Lepisosteus oculatus: one gene and its partners. The protein of the gene in region 1 purifies or fractionates together with the protein of each later gene. This does not show direct contact. Links are inferred from orthologs where the notes say so. Each region holds a gene or a part of one and is shown on either strand. Other genes may lie near its edges. The genes, in order: sumo1, mitfa and hypoxia-inducible factor 1-alpha.

Evidence for each region.
Region 2: the proteins of sumo1 (region 1) and mitfa purify together in Homo sapiens (affinity purification with western blotting; 3 studies listed by BioGRID and IntAct, with this or other methods). This does not show direct contact. The link is inferred for Lepisosteus oculatus from reciprocal best matches to the Homo sapiens genes SUMO1 and MITF.
Region 3: the proteins of sumo1 (region 1) and hypoxia-inducible factor 1-alpha purify together in Homo sapiens (co-immunoprecipitation; 3 studies listed by BioGRID and IntAct, with this or other methods). This does not show direct contact. The link is inferred for Lepisosteus oculatus from reciprocal best matches to the Homo sapiens genes SUMO1 and HIF1A.

The regions. Positions count from the first base shown.
Region 1 is NC_090707.1:34,433,672-34,440,621, forward strand, and holds the start of sumo1 (small ubiquitin-related modifier 1), read left to right. Parts: upstream 1-3,944; 5' UTR 3,945-4,087; coding exon 4,088-4,099; intron 4,100-6,950. Other genes in the region: nop58 (nucleolar protein 58), read right to left, coding at 392-444, 810-886, 1,881-1,925. UniProt on the Homo sapiens protein: Ubiquitin-like protein that can be covalently attached to proteins as a monomer or a lysine-linked polymer.
Region 2 is NC_090699.1:50,486,927-50,494,606, forward strand, and holds the start of mitfa (melanocyte inducing transcription factor a), read left to right. Parts: upstream 1-4,589; 5' UTR 4,590-4,693; coding exon 4,694-4,797; intron 4,798-7,680. UniProt on the Homo sapiens protein: Transcription factor that acts as a master regulator of melanocyte survival and differentiation as well as melanosome biogenesis.
Region 3 is NC_090703.1:7,462,194-7,469,719, reverse strand, and holds the start of hypoxia-inducible factor 1-alpha, read right to left. Parts: upstream 3,093-7,526; 5' UTR 2,802-3,092; coding exon 2,770-2,801; intron 1-2,769.

The DNA of each region.
Region 1 (6,950 bases):
AAAATTGACCTCATTTGTTTTTCACTCAGGCAACACAGAATGCATCATCGACAGCAGAGTCAAAAGTAAAAACTACCATGTAGGCCTTAACTGCATTTTTTTACAGGTTTCCTTTTTTTGTTTGAGTACTGGTTGTCAACGGCTCTCACAGAACATAACTGTAAAAGTTAGGGGTGAACTAACTAAGGATATGACAATATCTGTGTATTAAACTAACAGAATAAAAACAGTTTCTCACAAAAACCTTTTTTGTATGTTCACGTACAAGCACAGGAAGCAATAAAACCAAAAACTTTTCGCATCAGGAGACGCGAAGAACCACATACATGGAAGTGCAGGACTGTTTGGGATACCACTAAATTCTTAAATTGAACCCCAAAAAACATCGTACCTGCCAGTGCTTCTGTGGTGTCCTGGAATTTTTCAAAGTGTTTGAGTTTCACTCTGGCAAAAGAAAGATTAAATTCAGATCAAACAATCAGAAAAAAAGAACTGACTTAAGCGTATTCAAAACACTTGATAAAATAACACATATCCAGAGCAGACTGTTTAATCTGTACAGGAATTGTCACCAGCCTAACACAGTACTCTGTCAATCAGATTAAATAAAATGACTTGTTTTATACAATTCTGTCCAAAGTATGCATACTGTAGGTTTTCCACTTAAATAAAAGCTTAGTCTAGTTTCTGGGAAGTTGAAGATTTATACAGAAGGGTTGATTTCAATCCTAGAGGTTGGTAACATACCTACAAGGTAAAAGAAAAGCCTTTAAACGTTTAAAAAAACCACAAAATGAAAATGTATTTACATTTTATTTGCTCTTTCTGGAGTCTGGAATTCTTCCCACAATTTGTCCACCTCCTGGAGTTTTTTCTCATTGAGAACCTGAAAAAAAAGTTTAAGGGGTTAGAAACACTAAAAAGAGTCGCCTGTCGACTCACTATGGATTAACTCATTTTTAAACAGATCTTGGGCTACACTGCTTATCCTTACCGGTTGTCTTATTCGACATTTTCTTATTAAACGATTTTGACTTCGACCATTCCATCAAGACAGATATATCAACTCCCACTCCCACTGAGCGTTCAATAAAGTTCCCCAATGTAGCTGCACCTATTCCCCGTCAAGCCAACAGAACGAACGTCTCTTTACCTGCTTTGTAACATTTTGTGTAAATGCAGAACTACATTTTCCCTCATACTTTTCACCCTGGAATTAACGTCTTTTTCTTGTTGCATCAGCAAAGTTTAACAAGAAAAAAACACAACGTGAAATCGTGCCCTGCGTTAGAGATCATATTGAGATCAAACACGCCGAGCCAAAAGTTGTTCCAATGCAATACACCTCTAACCATCTAACGATACTTTTCTGAAACTGTTTAGCGTTTCGCTAAATATATATATAAAAAGTGGACGATCGTTTCTTTCATGCGCCCAGAATTCTGAAACCTTTCAAAAAAAGGTTTATTAGCTGCGATTTTCAGATTCTCTCTCTACTCGTCTCAGCAGGCTGTTTTCATTCCGATTTCTGCAAGATCGAGCAATCAGATTTGGAAAGCATGAAAGTTAAAAGTCCTCGACCTAATGCCAAGTTACATGTAACCCATGTGGCCAGTCTGCACGCAACGTGGTAGCAGAGAGCGACGGGCCCGCACTCCAAACTTCTTCCCCTACACCTTTTCGTAGACAATTTCGCACACCAAGATCACCGCGTACCACCATTCATGCCCAGATCATTTTAATTTCCCTTAAAACACTTTTATTTGAATGAACATATCGGCAACGCGGGCAAAAAGGACACGCACACGGTAGCACAAGATGGTCCCTTTGCTCTCCTTAGTTCAAATTACTGAAGCCCCCACCCATTTATTTTTCCTTACCTTAAAAATTGCATAGCCAGCGGCGGTCTCGAACAGCACCAACATCTTCGATCATCTAAGGACGTTTTCCAGCCTCTAAACGTGGATTTTTCCTTTACTTAGGATCGGCACGCTCCTCCACCACGGGCTTCTGCAGAGACCCTCCACGCGGTGTAGGATCCCGAGACTGCGCACTCCAGGCGCCTGCGCGCGGGGGCGGAGCCGCACACCGGAAACGGAAGGGCTGTGTTAGGAACCGGAGACGAGACCCAGGAGGCACGCTCGAGTGTTTCCGAACCTTTCCGAGTCTTTCCGAAGGCCCATTGAGTGTTTTAAAATGGTTTCAATGTAATGGGTGCTCATCAAGAAAGATCCGACAATACACTTTTGCCTGTCTCGCCTCGCACCTTTTTGCTTATCAGATACAAAAAACCCGTGAATATATCACAAATAATCACAAATAAATTTGACATTGGATGGACGGACATTGTGCTTTGGCTATCCAGTCAAAGCGTTTTGATGGCATACTTATTTCGAAAATACGTCACACGCGGTTGTGTTATATCAAGCCTTCAGCTCACGCAAAAAATGTCAGTTGCATTAGACAAGGACGTTTATTTAAGGGAATAAATAAAAGAAGAACTTTTAGTCTTCTGATGCTGAATGTTTTTTGTATAATGATAAGAAAGAGACACTCACGGCTCTAAGTCTTGACACTGTACAAGTGTATTCATTTATACTATTAATTTACTACATTGGCATTGATCAACAGTTCTTATTTTAAAGTTCTTATACAGACATACTGTATTTAAGGGATGCACTTTGGTGCAGTGGTTAGCAGTCTCACAGTGCTGGGGTTCAATTCCTGGGCTGCTATCTCTGTGCTCAGTTCTACCTCTGGGTGCTCTTCTTTCCTCCTACAGTTCAAAGACATACTGTTAGGTTAAATGGCTTCTGGGAAGATTGACCCTGGTGTGTCTGTCTGCCCTGTGGTTGACTGGTGTAATGGATGGATGATTTTTCCCATAGGAAAACAAGACCCGGCCTATAATAAACACCAGTCCTTAAGAGAACACGGTATTCAGCATTGGTCATCACAGTCTCAGGTAGAACATTTACAGTATGAGCTGAAGAAAGCAGATTTCAGGCACAGATCACACAACCAAAAGACGTTCGATATGAGAACCTTAGGATGAGACGTAAAACCGAGTTCCTGACTCTCTGTGGTCATTAAATATGCCAGGGCGTTTCTCGAAAAGAGTAGGGGGTGTAACCCCAGCGTCCTGGCCAAATTTCCCATTGGCCCTTACCAATCATGGCCTCCTAATAATCCCCATCTATGAATTGGCTTCATCACTCTGCTCTCCTCCCCACTGAGAGCTGATGTGTGGTGAGTGTACTGGTGCCCTATGGCTGCCATCGCATCATCCAGGTGGATGCTGCACATTGGTGGTGGTGGTAACTTGTGTAATGTATTAATATAATATTAGACTACTGAACGTATATAGTAGATACTATATTGGTTCTACTAGATACTATATTGGTAAGTACTATTGTAGCTCTACAGTATAGTATTTCAGTACACCTCGCAGTGTATACCATAATATTTCACTCTAATATTTAACCATATCACAAATATATATATATAAAGTCCATACTATAGTAATGTTACAGCACATACTGTACATTAGTTAAGAATTTCCCAAATTATAGATGTTATAAAATATAAATTATATTATCATTCAAATAAACAAAATGTTATTTTAGTTGTTATATTAATCTATAGACTCATACTACACGTCCATCCTATAGTAAAGTGCTGTAATTTTCCAAACATGTTTTATATTGTCTTCTAAGCTTTCACGAATAGGGCATGAGCTAACTTTATAAAACAGAGCTCTTCAAAGAATATATGCGTCCTCATTATTTTCACTGGGATGAATCTTAATCAGACCCGGTACCTTTGCCAACGTGGGTCTCCCTGTAAGCAGGATGTACGAAGAGGACCATCCGAAAAGCACATTTTAAAAACAAAATTGTTTTCTCTTTGGCTACACGACCAAATGACGTCACTTCCCGAGGAAGTCCCTCCCCGATTCCAATGAGGTCAGTGTCTGTGTTTTTGTGGGGGGATTGTAGGAAAGAGAAGAGCGCTTAATACTAAATAACATCATCATAAAATATCAAAGATTTAGTTGTAAGAGTCACAGGGAAAAACAGAAGCAAGCATGTCTGATACGGTAAGTCTGTGATCTGTGTATAGGAACTAAACATCTATATTAGCTGATCAGACTCGGTGTTTTCGGGCGCATAGCGTGCGTGTACTGTGAATCAAGATACAGCCTGAATAATAAATAATTATATTTTACTTTTATGAAAAAAATACAGTATATTAACCAGTAATGGAATGGGCGTTTAAAACTTTGTCAGAAACTAACGGGTCTGTTCAAGAGGAGTTGAGATATCTGCAATTTACAGCGCCGATGTGCTTAGGGGTACTGTTCTTGATGTCTCAGAATTTAAACGAAATAATCTTTAAAAAAATCGAGAGTGGGGAAGGCTGGGTTGTCTTTCGGTACAGTGCATGCATTTGTTTTGCCGAAAAATTAACAAATGTGTAGGGATTGTTTTTTAGGACTCTTCGGTATTCAGTGAAAAGCGATCGTGGCCCACTGGTACTGTCGGGAGTGAAACTGAAAATAAATGGATTGTTGTAGTTCGGAGTTGAAATGAAGGTTTTTGTTACTTAAGTGAAGTTAATTTCCTTCCGAAGCTGAACAGTAGATTTTGTTCTTCGCAACGTAATAAAAGGGCAGGAAAGCACATCGAGTCCTTAAAATAGGTGTCGAGACACAAGTAACTGCTTAAGGAGTTGTATTTAACATAAGCGGTAGTACAGTGATGGATGATAGTAGTTTGAACATTTTTATGTTTTCATATTTTTATGATTGTCTTTTAAGATGAGAAAAAGGGCACTAAAACCACCATATTGCTTGATATAATAGATACAATAAACGTATGTCTGTTGGCCTCTACAACTCTGGGATTTGTAGAAAGCAGCAGAAATGGCTTCCTACTTGCCTTTGCATATATTTGCCTCTGCCTTCCTTACATGAGTAGAGCCTGCAGTTATGGTGAACTTGGGCCATGAGAGTGTTGTGTTGTATGGTCCCATAGGACCGCAGTTCAGCAAAAGGTCTGCATCTCTATACGATTCTTGCTTTTGAGCTTCAGAAAGAGTTAACTCAATTAAAGAGATCAAGTGGAAAGGATCTTAAAGAAGGCTGCAATCCATCACCCCAGATCTGATAGATGCTTTAATGGCAAGACACTGGGATAATGAGTGGGGGAAAAAAAGGAATTATTTCTGAAGTTTGTGTGGACACAAAGACGAGGCCTACAGTGTAAAGTTGAGCCTGTCTGTTAAGATTATTGGCAATTCTGTCATGGATTGGCTCGACACAAATGTGCCGCGAGTCAAGAATTAACTAGTAAAACATACATGTGATATTATAGCTTCACACATTAAGACAGGGAACCCCAAAAAAACGCAAAAGCCCAAAACCCCATATGTTTGTTGGTTGTTTTGCCAGCCGCAGTGCTTATATTTAAGTTGCTGACTTCCAAACACACAAGTAGAGGGATGTAGAAGCCGAACTGATATCCTATAGCCACCTCAAAATCCAGCAGTGGTAGTAAAATAATTTGTTTGCCACATTGTCACGACAACAGCTCTTCGAAGGTTTAGAACTCCCTTAAACGGGTAGATAACAAAGAAACCCTTTGGCGCAGCCCTTAAACTTGCAGGGATTTGACGAAAAAGCGTGTTTGTAGCGCCGCGAAAAAACAGTGAGGTAACTATCAATGAATGTAGTTTCTCTGATCAGAGATTTGGGTGCAGCGCCGGGGCCGTGGGTTAAATTCCTGGAGCTGGGGTGCTGTCTGTGTGGAGTTTGCATGTCCTCCCTATGTGTACGTGGGTTTCCTCTGGTTGCTCTTACAGTCCACGAACGTACCCGCAGTTTAATTGGCCCGAGGGGCGAGTGTGTGTGTGCCCTGCGATGGATAGGCATGCTTTCCTGGGTGAACCCTGACTTGTTAGCCTGTTGTTAGTCCTGATTGGCTCCAGCTCCCCTGTGACCCTGTATCGGATAAAGTGGTTACGAACTGGATGGAGGATCAGAGATTTCAGGTACATTAGGACCTCACTGCAAATTCTTTCTTTGTTTTATGCTCTTTTAAATACTGAGTTAAGTGTTGTATAGCGCCGAATGAGACACTTTCTGTATCGGCCTCTCTGTGTGCATCTGTGAGCTCAGCGCTGTTTATTCAGAAGACAAAAACAGAGATGGAACCAAATATAATCTTAACTGTACAAAGCAGTTGTTATGGATACCACCTATTACACGAATTGTTTCCTGGAATGGGTTTTCGAAGAATTTTACGGTTAATCTTGTAGAACTTTAACCATCACGGGCATAATATTGTAGGGGCAGCTGTTTTCAAAGATCCATACAAACCAAGGATGGGAACAGAGCTTTGTTCTTTTTGACAATATACAGGAGACACAGGCCCAGACAAACTGGAGAATTCTAAACGCAGGTCTGCTCTTTACAGAGGCAGTGTACAACTTACGTACACTTCCTGTATGTTTTCATTAAAGCAATTTTCATTTGTATCCTTCATTATTCATTTTTTTTCCATCCTAGGTATGCTGTGTAAATACTTTGTTTCTGTTTTGACCACTTTGCGTTACAAGCCGATGCTGCTGTTGTGTTACAGATCGATTGCGGGATGTGCAGTTGAAATGAGATTGTTCTGCTGATATCTGAGACTTACATTTAAAAATAATAATAATTGCTTACATTTATATAGCACTTTTCTGGACATTCCACTCAAAGCGCTTTACAGGAAATGGGGACTCCCCTCCACCACCACCAATGTGCAGCCCCACCTGGATGATGCGACGGCAGCCATAGTGCACCAGAACGCTCACCACACATCAGCTATCAGTGGGGAGGAGAGCAGAGTAATGAAGCCAATTCATAGATGGGGATTATTAGGAGGCCATGAGTGGTAAGGGCCAATGGG
Region 2 (7,680 bases), on another chromosome or scaffold:
AAACTGAAGTTTTATTCATTTTCTTAAAATATTGGACGAATATCGTTAAGGTCTCAGGACCCAGAAAAACACTGCTAATGAGAAAAAACTTAACACCAATAACACCAACAGGACTTAACACCAATAAATAAAGAGAAAGGGTCCAGCTGAGGTGACTACACGCATGATACATGCATACTGGAGATGCCTTAATTTTTCTTCTCTTATCACTTCTGATTACAAATGGCTCACTGGGGTGCTTTTACAAACTTCATAAGAGATTTCTTGGGCTTCACTTGGCTGTGGAAAAGTCAAAGCAAGACCCCTGAGCTCTATTGTAAAGCATTTTCAATGCAAGCACTGGTCACCCCTAGCAGCATGCTCTGACTGCTTATATTGGAGTCAAGCCTACAAATCCCAGTATCCTTCTTTTACAGATTATGATTTCCAAATCAGCTCTGTACCCCTGGGTTTGGTGTATGGACCTATTGTTTTGTTTCTCTGTACTAAAGCTTCAGGAGCTGAGAAGAGCCAAGCTAACCAATATTCCAGGGACTTTCTCAAGCTTGTTTGGAATTAGGTAAAAAAGAGTGAATTAAAAAACACTACTGGAGTCCTTTAACTTTAAATCGGCACATTTCCCGATGTATATTAGGTCTGAGATAGACTGACCCTGTAGACAACAGTTTCCGGTTCTTGTAAGTCAGCAGTGACATGATGCATTGTCAACTTAACCAGAACACTTTCCTCTCTATTACACTGTAAACGTCCAGTGTGTTCCCTGCCTTGCACCTGTTACTTGCCGGGATAACCCTGAATTGGAAGAAGAGGTTAGAAAATACATGGATGGATGTTGTAAGAATCCATCTGGTGTAATTTTACAGATTGCATAAAGATAATTTAGAATTTGTTCAAGATTACACATTAAATGTAACCCATGCAACACTAATAATTTTTTCCACTTCTTTTCTTGGTCTTTGTTGATTTAAATTTACATTTAATTGAAACACTTAATGCTTTATTACATCACACAATGAGGTTGATGTGCTGGAAATACATTGTATAAAGATTTACAACAATAAAGTTGGACCTGGCTTAATCAAAGGACTGTATTAATTGAATCTTTTTGGATTTGAACAGAGAGGATTCTGTAAACTTTAACAAGGTCTTCAAATTCCTGAATGCTATTGACTAAGTCATCACTGGGCACCAGCAGAATTAGAAACATTTTATTTGCCAAGTACAAGGAGTGTAATATGGTGTCTTGGTGTAAAAACAGAAACAACCAACAATACAATACACTTCACACAAAGAGGTGGCAACACGAGGACCAAGAACGTGAACAGAAATTATTTTTAAGGTCATTTTAAGACTTAAAACAGGTAACAAAGAATTATGGGAGTCTGGAACCAGCTCCCATGTCATGTGATTGAAGGTGGCACCATGGATTTTTTTTACTCTTTATGGCCTCTTTAGAGCCCAGTAGAAAGTCTATGAGCTCTGAATCTGAGTTTCTAGCCTGGCTGGACTGCACAGTCATGTCAAAAGACATTGGACTGCAGAATCAAAGTGGACATCAGCCAGAGTTAATCAGACTCTCTGAGAGTCAGATTTGAATTGTGTGCAATTAAAAAAATTAAATATTGGCCATATTCAAGGTGCACACTCTGCAGAGTTTTCCATTGGTTTAATTGAAAGAAAGAAGTGTTTTATTGAGTATGGCAAAACATACAGTAAATATCTTTTTAATTGAACTCCTGATTGATTGTAGCTGCATCACTATTATGTGAATTTGTCTCACCCAAAAAGTGTATAAAAGTGAAAAATGTATAAAATTGCTAATTATATGTATCTAATGAAACAATATACTGTATATGCACATCTTATAGATAGACAGAATATTAAACTTCTAGCACCCAAACAAGCAAGTTGTACTGACAGACCATCTCTTATTTGTAACCTTTCATATGCACTTCAAACAACTGAGTATTTCTTAAAATGTAACCGCTTCATAATAAATCCTTTCTGATGTTCATTTTCAATTCAAAACAGTTCAACTCAGCATACAAGCTGTGTAATGACAAGCTTGTGGTTTGTCAATACATTTTGTTCTGAATGATAGCTATTCACCTTCACGCATTGTGCTGTTGTATTGACAGCAGAGTTAATTACAGCTTACAAAGGCTGTGAGCTGTTGGGATAATGTTCAGCAAACTCACTCTTTTGTGGAACACATGTTAGCACATACTCGTTAACAGAGCAGAACACCGGAGAAGAATGAGAAATTAAAATTTCCCTGTTAAACTCTTTGGATAAAGAAATCTACATTTCTTTACCTTCACATTCAGTTTTTCATGACCTTGTTAAAATGGTACAATTGAACATGAACTCAGGAACAACCCAGAACTCAGAACTACGCAGAAGAACTCAAAGGTTTATTAACAACAATAACAAGAAGCCTATGAGATACTGCACACACTAAAATAACCATAACTATGGAGCATGCAGCAATTAGTTTCTTGTGTACAATCCAAAAAGATGTTTTATGTGCTAAGTAATCAACACAACTGACCAAAGACTGGTCAAGGACTAGACTACTGTAGATGGACATGTAGACAAAGCATTCCAGGCAAGGGCTCAGCTGCATAAATGGAATTAGTGAAAAGACTGCTGGAGGCTTGGTGTAACACACTTAATCTGAAAATAAACACTGACTCTGTTTAACATCCTGGTTAAGCTCCAACGCTTAGGCAGCGTTTCCACAGAAAGAAATTGAAGATGGGAATTGAAGGTGGCTCGATGCCCACAGTAAAAACATTTATCTACTGAAGGATGAGAACAACATGCAATATTGTATGAGCTATAACACCTCACAAAACACCAAATAATCCCCGTTTTACTATAAAATGTCTGCCTACACGATATTTAAAAATATTTTTTTATATCTTGGATTTAACCTTCTCAATAAAAGAAGTTCATCCTTTTAATTAGTAATATTTCTTATATTTATGGATCACATTTCACCATGCTCTTTCTTGTCCCGAAAAAACATCTTATTAAACAAAAGTGTTAGAACGACTTTATTTTTCGCACTTGATAAATTAATGCTGACCCTCTACCCAAATTGTGTATTGTATAAAAGTCCAATAATTAATTTCTTCTCATGCCGATATAAAACACTCCATAACTAGTTTTGCGGTTGTAAAGGTCGAAGTCCTTTTAGAAGCGTTGTAATGCCACCCTCTGGCAGGGATAGAATATTACACGATCTGACCCGAAGAGAACCCATAAAGATCGAAGTTGGTTTTCGTGTCAAACCAGTAGGCGGCAGGGTTTTGAGTATAGCAATTCACGTTATGTTAAATACATTTTCAGGTATTTACATTTAGATTTAACATTTACCTTTCCCCCTTGGCTATAATATATTGGATAAACAGAAGCATTCAGGACAGCTATACTTTGCTTATTCAATGCAAGTAAAGTACGACCTCACTTAAATCATACTAGTAAGTCCATTAAGGAAAGCTATTCCAGAGAATCGTACAGTATATTCTGCTTGATTTCAATTATCTTTTGAAGTTTTTAACTTCTGTAAAATATCCTATTTTTTATTTTTTCAATTATTACATTCGTAATATTTACGTGGTTATACTGTTTTCTCCTGCTGCACTTGGAAAATTATCACCGCCAGCAGCTACACAACGAAATAAGTAACAATCCTATAATCACGAAACCTTTTTTAAATGAAATGTGTCTGAAAATAATATGAAGTAATTAGATGATAATTATTTGTGAAGATAAAGAACTTCTTAAAGCTTTGGATAGTCGCAGTTTTGCGGTCATGACCCACTTCGAGCAGTGGATTCAGAGGACTGAAAATAAATCTACTTAAACTGGAATGTGAAAGTTCTGTTTCACTGAACTTTAATGGTAGTCCAAGCACACAAACAGCCCAATAAGAACGATTATGATGACGATGACGATTTTCACCGTTTCACGGGTTGTCACTTTCAGCACATATAGCATGGCAGGGTTTCTGAATTTGCCAAATGGTAGAATTAATGCAAAATGCTAAAATCTTTGCTAACACGATATTAGACAGCCTCAGACAACAAGGGTTAATTACCGTAACAGTACCCGAGTAACAGTTCGGGTTGACAACGAAATTATCTGAATCACAAAAAAGGCTGCATGCGCACGTTTGGCACCATCACTGATACTGTGTAGTTTATGAACGCAGAAGAATCGTCAGTCGATACTTCAGATTCTGAAGAGCTGTACCCTTATTACCCGGAGCTAATGCTCCATAGGGGGCTATAAACAATTACACAGCAATTTCCACTTGCAGAACGTCTTTTCCCAAAGGTCTGAACGCGGCCAAGGAATGAAGACGGTGAAATTCCAATAGCTACTGCGACCAATGAAAAGCTGCTGACATTGACATACTATGAAAACACCATACGCTGGCGACCAACGCTGCAGCTTTGCCGCCTGGGACTTGTAGTTCTTAAGAGCGTGGCTTCCAATTCGATTATGCTTCATTCGACACTCAGAAAAACTACATGTCCTACAAATTCTAGCGCCATCAAGCGTAGGGAGGACAGTGACAGTTTGCCACCGCAGCGGCTGGCACTGTGCGTTTGACACTGATAACATTATTGCGTTTTCTTTTAACATCTGTATTTGTTAAAACGTGACATTGACAGCGGACACAATGCAGTCAGAATCGGGGATAGTACCAGATTTCGATGTCGGTGAAGAATTTCACGAAGAACCTAAAACGTATTACGAGCTGAAAAGCCAGCCTTTGAAAAACAGGTTAGTGCGTAATGTGATGTTAACTAGCTCATTTGCAGTTTGCAGGGAATTGCCTGAGTCGAAAACTCCTAAAAACAATGATAATAAAAATTATGACGATACGGTATTTGTAACAGTGCAGTATTCATTAATTTTTTATAACTGTTCGTATTTTTCTTATTTTGCATATCCCGAAAAATCCCATATGAATGTGTTCCATATGTTAACTGCGTTTTTTGCCACACAGATAATATTCTAAGTACTATGTCATCATATTACTTCCAGTCTACATGAGTTTTCTGGGAGGGTTTTGTTTGCTATCGGTTTTCTATGGGTTTCTTTTACACAGATATAAGCTTTAATTTGGGGTATTGTCTTCCTCAGTATCTTCTATAAATATTGTTAATTTTAAGTTATGATAAAGCTTTAAAGATTTAATTATGCTTTTTAGATTTCTTGTAGAGATATTTAATGATATTTAATGATAAGTCATTTTTACTTCAAAAATGGGATAACTAGAAACCGTTAAGCGTGGATCCATTTATTGATTTAATAATGCTCTATACTTCTTGTGTCTTGTCAGTAAGAAGTAGCTATTAGGAATTGATCCTTAAATTAGGAAGTAACAACTAAAGAAAGGAAAACAAAGAGCTATAATGTATGCATCAGTCTGCAGCTTTAAGAAACAATACGGTGGAAAACGAAAGAACACAGAGTATCATAATTCATCAGAGCAAATTTCCCCTAGAATTTTGCAGATTAATATGACGTGTTATGTAACAGAGACTTTGCAGTTAGGGATCGTTCTTTGTTTGGACATAGGTTAAACTGCTGTAGGTAGACATTTTAATGAATCCATGTCTTCGTTAGTAATTATCTAAAATAATACATTCATTTTACCGTAAGTACGGTGAATGTCCTGACAGTTTGAATTGCATACGTTAAGGAGCACGTCGGAAACTTGAGAGTGCTGACGTGTTTTGGATGGTTTTTGTTTTAGTCTTTAACATCGCACTTCAGAAGATAAGGGTACAATGATTTTTTTAAAAGATAGGTTCATTTAAATAGATAAAATCAATTAAAATGTAAATTGATTTAAATATTTTTCTGACCGTTTTATTTAGTTTTTCAAATAAAGTATTCCTTCTATCCGTGTACAGGCATTCAAAACGTATTGTGAGAATAGGAAAATATTTCCTATTTACTGTACATTGGATTCAGTCCTTTGTTTCATAAGATATTCTACTCTTCTGCTTAACGGAACTAAAGTCAATATTTTGTGTCAGAATTCAGTGTTGCACTGTTGTCTGAAATGGGTGGTAACTTTGTTTAACAAGCCGTCATATTTATTTGTTTTAGAAATTAAACACGGCACAGTGGTGCACTGGTTAGCATGGCTGCCTTACAGCCTTGGGTTCAATTCCTGGACTGCTTTCTGCAGGGAGTTTGTATGTTCTCGCCATGTTCAAATGGGTTTACTACAGGTGCTCCAGTTTCCTCCCACAGTCCAAAAACATACTGGTTGGTTAATTAGCTTCTAAGAAAATAGGCCCTGGTGCAAGTGTGTGCGTGTCTGTGTCTGCATCTGTGTGTACCCTGTGATGCTTGTCTGGAGAGGCTCCAAGTCTTCTGCCATCCTGTACTGGATAAAGATCTAAGTAGATGGATGGATTATTTTGTAAACGATATACAGGTGAAGTGCTCTAAATAACTGAAGACTGGTTGACCTGCCTTAAGAGATTCTAGTAAAAAGGATTCATCCATAGTTATGCCATGTACAGTATAGTTAATAGTCTTGCTTTCTGTTCAAGTAACAGCTTCTTTCTGAAAATGCAAAGTACCTTAATTGTAATACTAAAGTTCTGCAATATCTCCTAACTTATGCTTGTGCTGACAGATAACTACAGTTTAATTACTTAATAGTTCAAAGTTAATTACTGCACTTTATAGTTTACATACAGTATACATTTACAAATGTCATGACTTACAAGTGACTTAAATCATTTCCTAGAGCTACAAAAAAAAAGCCCTTTGAAAGTTTTTCATAATTTGAAAAAGTGAAACACTATTTTAAAGCAATTTTCTGGTTCGGTTCCACTTGCTTTCAAAATTCTGTTTTCTGTTTATTGTCATTAAAACTATAGGCATTAAAAGAAAACTATTCCCATTTTTCAAGTAATTAGGGGACATTTCAAAAGTAACAGGAAAAACAAAGCAAAAAAATGGTTGTATTTGTAATTTCAGAGTCACTGCAGTACCTTATTAGGGATATGTACCTCCTAATATTAGAAGTAATACAGGATACATGTAAAAAGAAATGCTGCTTCCAAAAATCTGTACTCTGTACAAATACATAGTGCTTTCTGTCATCCTCATAGCAGAGGCTGGGACAGGTGAAGCATTGAGCTCTTGTTGCAACCAAAGCATTTTCTCCTTCCAGCTGAACAATGTAAAGCCAGCTGAGTCAGGGCCTTGTTCTAGAGGTAACCTTTCACCCTTTTACTGAGAAGAATAGTTGAAAACCATGAGAGACCAGGCTTTGGAAAGCCAGCAAACTATCAATACAGAGCAGGCTATGAGAGAGTGAATAACATAACAGCAGCACTGGAATATTGCATCTCTGTGCAGGAAAAATACACCGGCATACATGACTAGAGTTCTTGGAATTGATAATTGATTCATTTTTTAATTCAAATGATTTAATCTAATTTCTTGTGGTCAGAATGCTGGTAATACTTTTGGATTCATCTTTTAATTTTAAACTTCTGTGTCTCGATAGCCATGCCTTTTTTTTAGAGTGCGAATACCAGCTAAGAGCTCTAGATCGGTTGGCAGTTGATCTGTAATTCTGCACACTGAAGGGATGGGCACAGTGAAAATGTGTTTTGCCGCATTCTGACAGTG
Region 3 (7,526 bases), on another chromosome or scaffold:
GGCTTAATTTAGATGAGCATACTAGATTCACTTAGCCACAACGGTATTGTAAATACTATATTATAAACATGAACTTCAGAACACAAGGTAACACACATTTGAGAAATCAGATATAAATTAGTTATATACTATAGTAAAACAAATACTGTATTAAGTGAAGTCATGATGTCTTATAACTTATTTCTTCTTGCTATCAGCAAGAAGCCATAGTTTCTTTGAACCCGATAGGAAAACAAACTGGTTCTTGGTTGGGTTTGTTTTTACCACATTTCTCAGGTGAATAGGTGCAAGGGATTCCCAACCAGAATTTAAGACAAAGCCAAAGGAAGGGTTCTTAACCAGGCCAATGTGAAGTGGTGGACCAAGGCTTCAGCTGGAGCACTGCGTCAGCCCTGTACACACGGCGGACTCAACACCCTTTGATGGGAAGGGTCTTGGGAAAATGGACTGAACACAAGAGACGCCTACGCATCTGCAGAATGGTTCCAGATGGTGCTGCTCATGACAAAGTACTCTCAAGAATTAGAAACATGACTGATAGTGGGTTAGTGAGTCGAAAGCTAGGGAAAATCTGAGGAGAATCAAGCCAATGCTGCATTTCCATTTTTGGTATCTGTACACTGCATGTAGGCCTACTTAATGTTGCAATGGACAAGAATATTTTCAGGCAAATGTAAGAAGTTGTTCTACATGATGTTCTGCCAGAGGTTATGAATTTTCAGACAAAAGTCTGGGAACTGTAGCTCTTGTGTCCCTGTAACTATAGTCCTTGTTGCTCATAAAGACTTTTAAGTCAGAGAATTTCATTTTCTGCTCTATGTTGTTCCATTAATTTTGTCATCAATAAACTATTGTTTTTCCAAAGCCAGAAGCTGATAAAACCCCTGATCTGTTAATACTACATGCATATATCATGATATCAGGGTTTGATGCACTGCGGAAATACAAGCTCTTTTGCCAGTGTCTCTAACAAGTTTTTTTCCTAGTGGCAGCATAAACACTCAATACCTTCACTTTCTTACTACTTTATTGGGACATCAGCACAAACTGTACAAACACCACACTGTTCCGTGAAACTTATGCAATATCCAAAACACTCACTCGCCTATTTCCGTCTGAGATTACTACTACGCCTGCCTGGAATAAAATCTTTGGTTTCAAAATATGAGGCAAGGTAAAAAAACGAGCCGTTTTCATCGCCTGCTCGAAATTTAGCTCGTTGCTATCAAGAAAGAACTAAGTATTTCCATGATAGATATTGCTCCATGCAGTCAGCTGTTGTAACTTACTCGGGAAAGTTTGGGAATAAGATTTACTTGCCCCGACAGAAAACAGTTACCAGTTTTCCATCTTGCCATTAAAAACAAAACTCAAAACTCTTATTTCCCACCTAAACCGCTTTGTTACAAGCTGGAAGGGTGACCAAACCGAGCCTCTTGGCTATATTTGTGACGCAAAGACACTTGCCTCTTATCTATACGCTAAGAGCAGAAGTGACAATTTCTTTCTCAGAAACACCAGTCTTTTTTTCAAGCCTTGTTACCAGCAACGCTCACCACCTATCAAGCATTGAAGCATTGAAGCAAAAAAAAAACAAACGCACTGTTCATTTTTTTGGGCTCATTTCTTTAGGCTCTTTTTTTTTGGAATGGCAATATGACAACCCCTCTTCCTACAGGGAAGAATGTCTAAAAATATCTCGTTTCAAAACAACAAAAGGTCTTACAACATCTTCATAAAACCGTCTACCTGTACACAACACCTTCTTTGTTGTTGTTGCCCTACTCATCCCCCATCGCTGGCAAAACAAGAGATGGAAAGAGATCATTATCGGGAAGTAACTGCGCTGTAAGGTCCGACTTGCCAGCCCGCTCTCCACTCACTCCGGGCCACCATGAAGAACTGGCCGAGAGAGCTCCTCAAGCCGGCACACGAAAGAGGAGGGTTCCCATTTTCAATCACAACACTAATAACATGGTTGTTTCCAAAATCCTGGGCTCCATATCCCCGAGGGACCCCCGAAAACCCACACACGCAGTGAACTCCGCGAGTGCCAAGACAGCCCCAAAGCCTGATCGCGCACGGATTCGCGAAAGGTGTAAAAGACCCGACGAAAATTGGTTCATTTCCCCGGGGCTGGCGTGGGGAACACGTCCCGAAGACCCTGGGCTCAAACCACCAAAGCCTCCATTCATCTCTTCAGCCGGTCGCCTTTCCCCCATCGACCCAGCGCCCATGCAGTATTAATAAGCATCGCCCGCACAGCAAATCATCTGACATTCTTATCGAGTTCCCAAGCGACGTCTGTCTCACTTTTATTTCTGATTCTTCGGGAAACCGGCGGCTGAAATGCAGCACAACGTCAAGGGGCCAGGCAACTACTTAGCGCACAACTTCGGGATTTCCTTCCTGCAACGATCTCCCCTCCGTGTTTGAGGAGGACGAGGGGGGCTACAAACCGCGCCTCGCCTCACAGGCAGCCCCCGGCTGCAGGAAAACGAGATATATCAAACAAGTGTCCCGAATCAATCAAAGTGTCCCCCCCTCTCCTTAACGAAATCACACCAGAACTGTCCTGCGCGGCCATACCAAACACTCAGACAAAATGGCGACGTGGCCACGGCCAAGAAATGATTCATACGACAAAATACACACACAAAAATGGGGAGCAAATTCTCCACAGCACATGAAAACAGCGGGGACGGAGCCAGGGGCCAGTTTAAACGACACAACCCCCCTCCCGTGAACAACAAGAAAGCTCAAACTCACCTCTTTTTTTCTGTGACTACGACCGTGTCCATTATCGCATGAAAGACGTCAGCTAGGATCTCCCAAACAGTAAGAGTTCCCCCAGGCCCGAGAGTGAAAAGACGGTTTATAATCCAACAGGAAGACGAAACGAACCAAGGTGCCCTGACTTTAAGAACTATTTTTGACGTGTGTGGTAGCAAGAGGTCAAACCTCCAGGTGCCTGAAGGTCACAACATCTGTTTCGAGCCGGTGTGTGCGATTCGTTCAGGAGAAACGGTCCAAGCTCTCCGCCGCGTCCGAGATGCTCCTTACACTGTAGTTTGTACTCGCTCCTTCTCGGGGGCGCGCAGTCACATGCCTCCAGGACGGGGCCGCGCACGCCCCGGCCGAGCCTCCCGGAGATCAAAATTCAGGTAAAATGCGTGCGCGTTCCCCGAAACAGAAATGTGGCAGGGGACGTCGCTGGTTGCGTCAGGCCGAAGTGATTCCGTGGTTTGATTTAAAGATGAAGATGATTAACCCTTCGGTAAACGTATATATATATACACATTGGCAACAGTTAAAAGATGTTATTAACCTGTTGATAAAATGACATTATTTCATAACATTTGAACGTCTTGTAGGCAAATGCCGTACACACCTTTTGTCATTTCTTAATATTTTAAACGTCATATTTTTAAAATGTTTTTTTTTTAAGTACAGATACTGGTCGGAAAAAAGCAGTTCATTCAGACCTGAAGCCCATAAAAAACAATTTAAGTCGCATTCATAACACTAAAACATTCTAATAAATCTGCTTAATAAATATACCTTTGAGGGTGAAATAACTGTACTATTATATTATATCGAAGTCTGATAAAATATTAAAGTCAGGATGTCACCTGCAGTCTGACCGGCATCTTGTTTTTGTTTTGATTTTGTAGTTTTTGGCTGTTTTACTCTTTGAATTGAGTGCATGCTTGAGATTAAAATTGCCCTCAGGAATGCTCGGGAATATAGTGTTCGGGAATTAAATTACATTGCATCGCATTAAATCTGCTGGGGTCCTGACAATTAATGTTACATTAGGTTAGGAGTATATGAAGCCAAAGACAGATACTCTAAGATTACTTTGCCTTAAAACGTGTTCTACCGACATGACCGACAAATGCAAAAGTCTGCGGCAAGTAACAATTGAAAACAATGCTTGGAATTATGAGACAGGTTAAAGTAACAACGCTTCCAAAATTAAAACATAGTGAGTAGGAAGTAATAAATGAATACAGGTACAAAACATAGTAGGAAGTAATAAATGAATACAGGTACATTTAACCCCCCTGCTCTCACACACACAGACACAAGTATTATGAATGAAGAGGCCATGTGACTGCCGCTATCAGTCTTTTTGGGCTCCCTAATTAGCTTTGTTTGAAATCTCCTTACGGGTTTAGCTGCCAGTCAGCGTCAGTGAGCGGTGTGTCGTGTATGCAGCTTGTGGAATTTGGTTAGCCTTAGACCTGCCCTGCTGAGGACAGAGCATGGAGCACGAGGCCTGCCCGGCAGACTAGCTCCATTTGTGACACAGGTCCCCAAACACATTCATAAAGGATAAGATTAGATCACTTTATTGGCCATATACAATTTCTTACATTAGGAATTTGTCCTTTCACATACCTCAGCTTGCTCTCCATGAGACACACAGGTGGGGAGAGAGAAGCTTGGAGTCAGAGCACAGGGGCAGCCATTTATACAGCACCCCTGGAGCAGCTGGGGTTAAGGGCCTTGCTTAGGGACCCACCGGAGTAGGATTCCTCTGCCAGCCATGGAATTTGAACTAGCAACCTTCCAGCAACAGGAGCAGATCCTTAGCCAGAGGGCCACCACTCTGCCCCATGGTGCCACTAACTCCGCTCACTTCCCTGTCTCTCTTCAGCACGGCGGGGAGCTGCAGTGACTTGGGTGCACGAGGTGACAGAAGTGCTAGTGAGCGGCACGGTGGCTCGGTTTGTATTGCTCCCTTTGAGCGGCTGGGCCCTGGGTTCGATTCCCGGATCTGGGGGTGCTGCTTGCTTGGAGTTTGTATGTTCTCCTGGTTTTGTGTGGGGTCTCACCAGTACTCAGGTCACTCGAAGGGATACTGGCAGGTTAATTGGCTTATGGGAAAAAAGTGGCCCTGATGTGCATTTGTGTCTGTGTGTCTGCCCTGCGATGGACTGGCACCGTCCTGGCCTGTGTCTGAGCTTGCCAGGATAGAGTCATTCTGCTCCACAGCCCTGTGGTGGATGGAGCGTTTAGAAAATGGATGGAGATAGTAGCATTGCCTTTGAAAGAAGGCATTAGGAGATCTATATATACACTGACCTGTTATTTTTAGGTTATATATCCAAATATAAAAATGATAAAATAATTCGCCCAAACCTCTGAGAATACATGCATTTCCCTACAGAAATAATCAAATCTCCTTTCTTCATGGGTCACATTTCATCCAACAGGTTTGATAGTATTTTCCAGACGTTCAGCCTTTCTTCTGTGAAAACAGTCTGACTCTGTGAATGTAATGTTTCCCCTGATAAGCCCAGGTGTATGTAAACCGCCCGCTCATTCTGTTCTGTTTGTTCCGGAAAAACAGCAGCGAAACGGGATTTTTAGGTTGTTTTGTGGAAAGATGAACTCTTAACAATGTGTGAAAGGAATTATATCGCGTGAATATTGTGAGCACTGTCGAATTGATCGCAAACATGCTGGACTACTTCTGTGCAGAGTTCTCAGTACTTGGTATTGTACAAAATATGTGTCTCCTCTACACTTATCTAAATAGACCAAAGTATCTACTCACTTTGATTGCAATTAATTTAAAATAGCAACAGGTGATCTTTAACTTTATGTGTTCATTGAAATCAAGACGAACATAAGCACTCCCCATGGTTTAAAATATCCGCTTCAGTCTGTAATGCAGAGCAGATGGGTGCTAGCCTGTTCACTGCATGGCCTGCGGTAGAATAGGAAGGCAGTGACTTTGAGCCTCTCCTTGCATCTTAAGGAAAGTCTGCCTGTCGTGGAAAGTGAACTCTTCCCTGAGGAGAGGAACGTGTCAGCCGTGCGTGGGACACACTGCGCAGCCTGGCACTTACAGAGCACGGAAAAAATGTGAAGTCCCACATGGACGTTTCTGTGAAGAGAGAGCATTTTTTTTTTATAGAGAGAGGAATCTAAACACGTACGTTATAACTAACTCTGCCAACCACTGCAGTACCTTCTTGGCTCCTCAAGTTGCGCTGGAGCATTCCCAAAGTAAGATCATCAGAATTAGGCACCTTTCATGCAGTTCAGAACAAATAAGCTGTTTGCCAAGTCATTAATATTTCCAGAAAAAAATATATAATCCATGTGGGAGGGGGTGAGAAGGCAGAAAGGTATTGAATTTCTCAGTCCACAGTCTGCCTATTGATTTTCCTCAGGGTCAATAGAGGAATCCGAGCTGTCTGCGTCTCCAGTCTTGTTTGGAGCTGGGCTCTGGGCCAGCGACACCGAGAGCAGCGCAGTCGGGGGGGGGCGGAATCGGTGTTACTCTGCGTGGGGCCGTTCGCTCCCTGCCTGGCTCCCTGTCGATGGCGTCCCTGTCATTCGGGAGCTGCTGGCCCGAAGTGAGCACCTGCATGGAAAACAGCCCCTCTCTGCCCCCCGGTCTGAAGGACACCGCAGCGTGTGGGAGGAGGGGGGGAGTCTCATGAGCATGCATCATCCGAGGCTGGTGAGGCCAGAGTTAGGGGTTAAAATTTAGATCCTGCCACAAGCCCAGCTATTACTCAGCACAGGCAAAGTTGAGGTGGAAAAAAAAAGGAGTCTAAAAATGCTTTTGGGTTTTCAAACGTTCCAGTGCTCACTGCTAAAAACAGAGGTCAGAAAGTAGTGCTTCCAATGGTTCTATGAAAAGTCCCCTTGAGAGGCCTGGTTTCTTTGTTTTAAAGTCCCTTTCACTAACTGCCAAGTGAAGTGATAGGATTACTGGCAATAGTTTGGATTTCTCAACACGTTATCATCTGAGCCAAACTCTCTGCAACTTTGTGTGGGGAATAAATCATGAATGAATTCCTGCTCTTTCATGTTGTCAAAACAATGCCTGCAAAAGACATCTTATTTATCAAGGGTTGCTCAATTATCAGCTCTCATATCAAGTCCACCCAACAGGAGCAGGAAGTCTGCTGGTGAATACTGGATTTTAAAAGCCCTGAGAGGTATTAAAACGTTAAAACATATTGAAGCTGGTTGGTTTTTTCCAGTGTCCCAGATTTAACATGAAGCCTTTCCTTTCCTTTATGAAAAGTGAGCTTGAAGTTATCGGTCCACTAACTGCTGTTCAGCTCTTAAGCCTGCTCCGCAGAATAGGAAGATTCTGATATTTCAAATCCCCCAAACACCGCTAGCAAATTGCCAGGGCAAAAGAGGATTATCACAAGACTAAAATGTTCCTGTCATTTCATCATTTTGGTCTTAAGTATATTAGCACAATAAAACTCAGACAGAAAAACTGAAGTGAAGGGAATTTACAGTTCTGTACTTGTATGATTCCCTTCCTGTATTTACTGCATGATTTTTCTTGAAGGGACTGTGGCTGAAAAGCCAATAGTCCACTATTGTGTTACCAAAGATATTGCAGAAAAAATGTTGAAATCACACAACCTATTATTATTATTATTATTATTATTATTATTATTTGTAGTAGTAATATTATATGCGAATACAGCTAAACTTCCATATTACCTTAAATATGTTAATTGTGATTTATCATGTAAAGC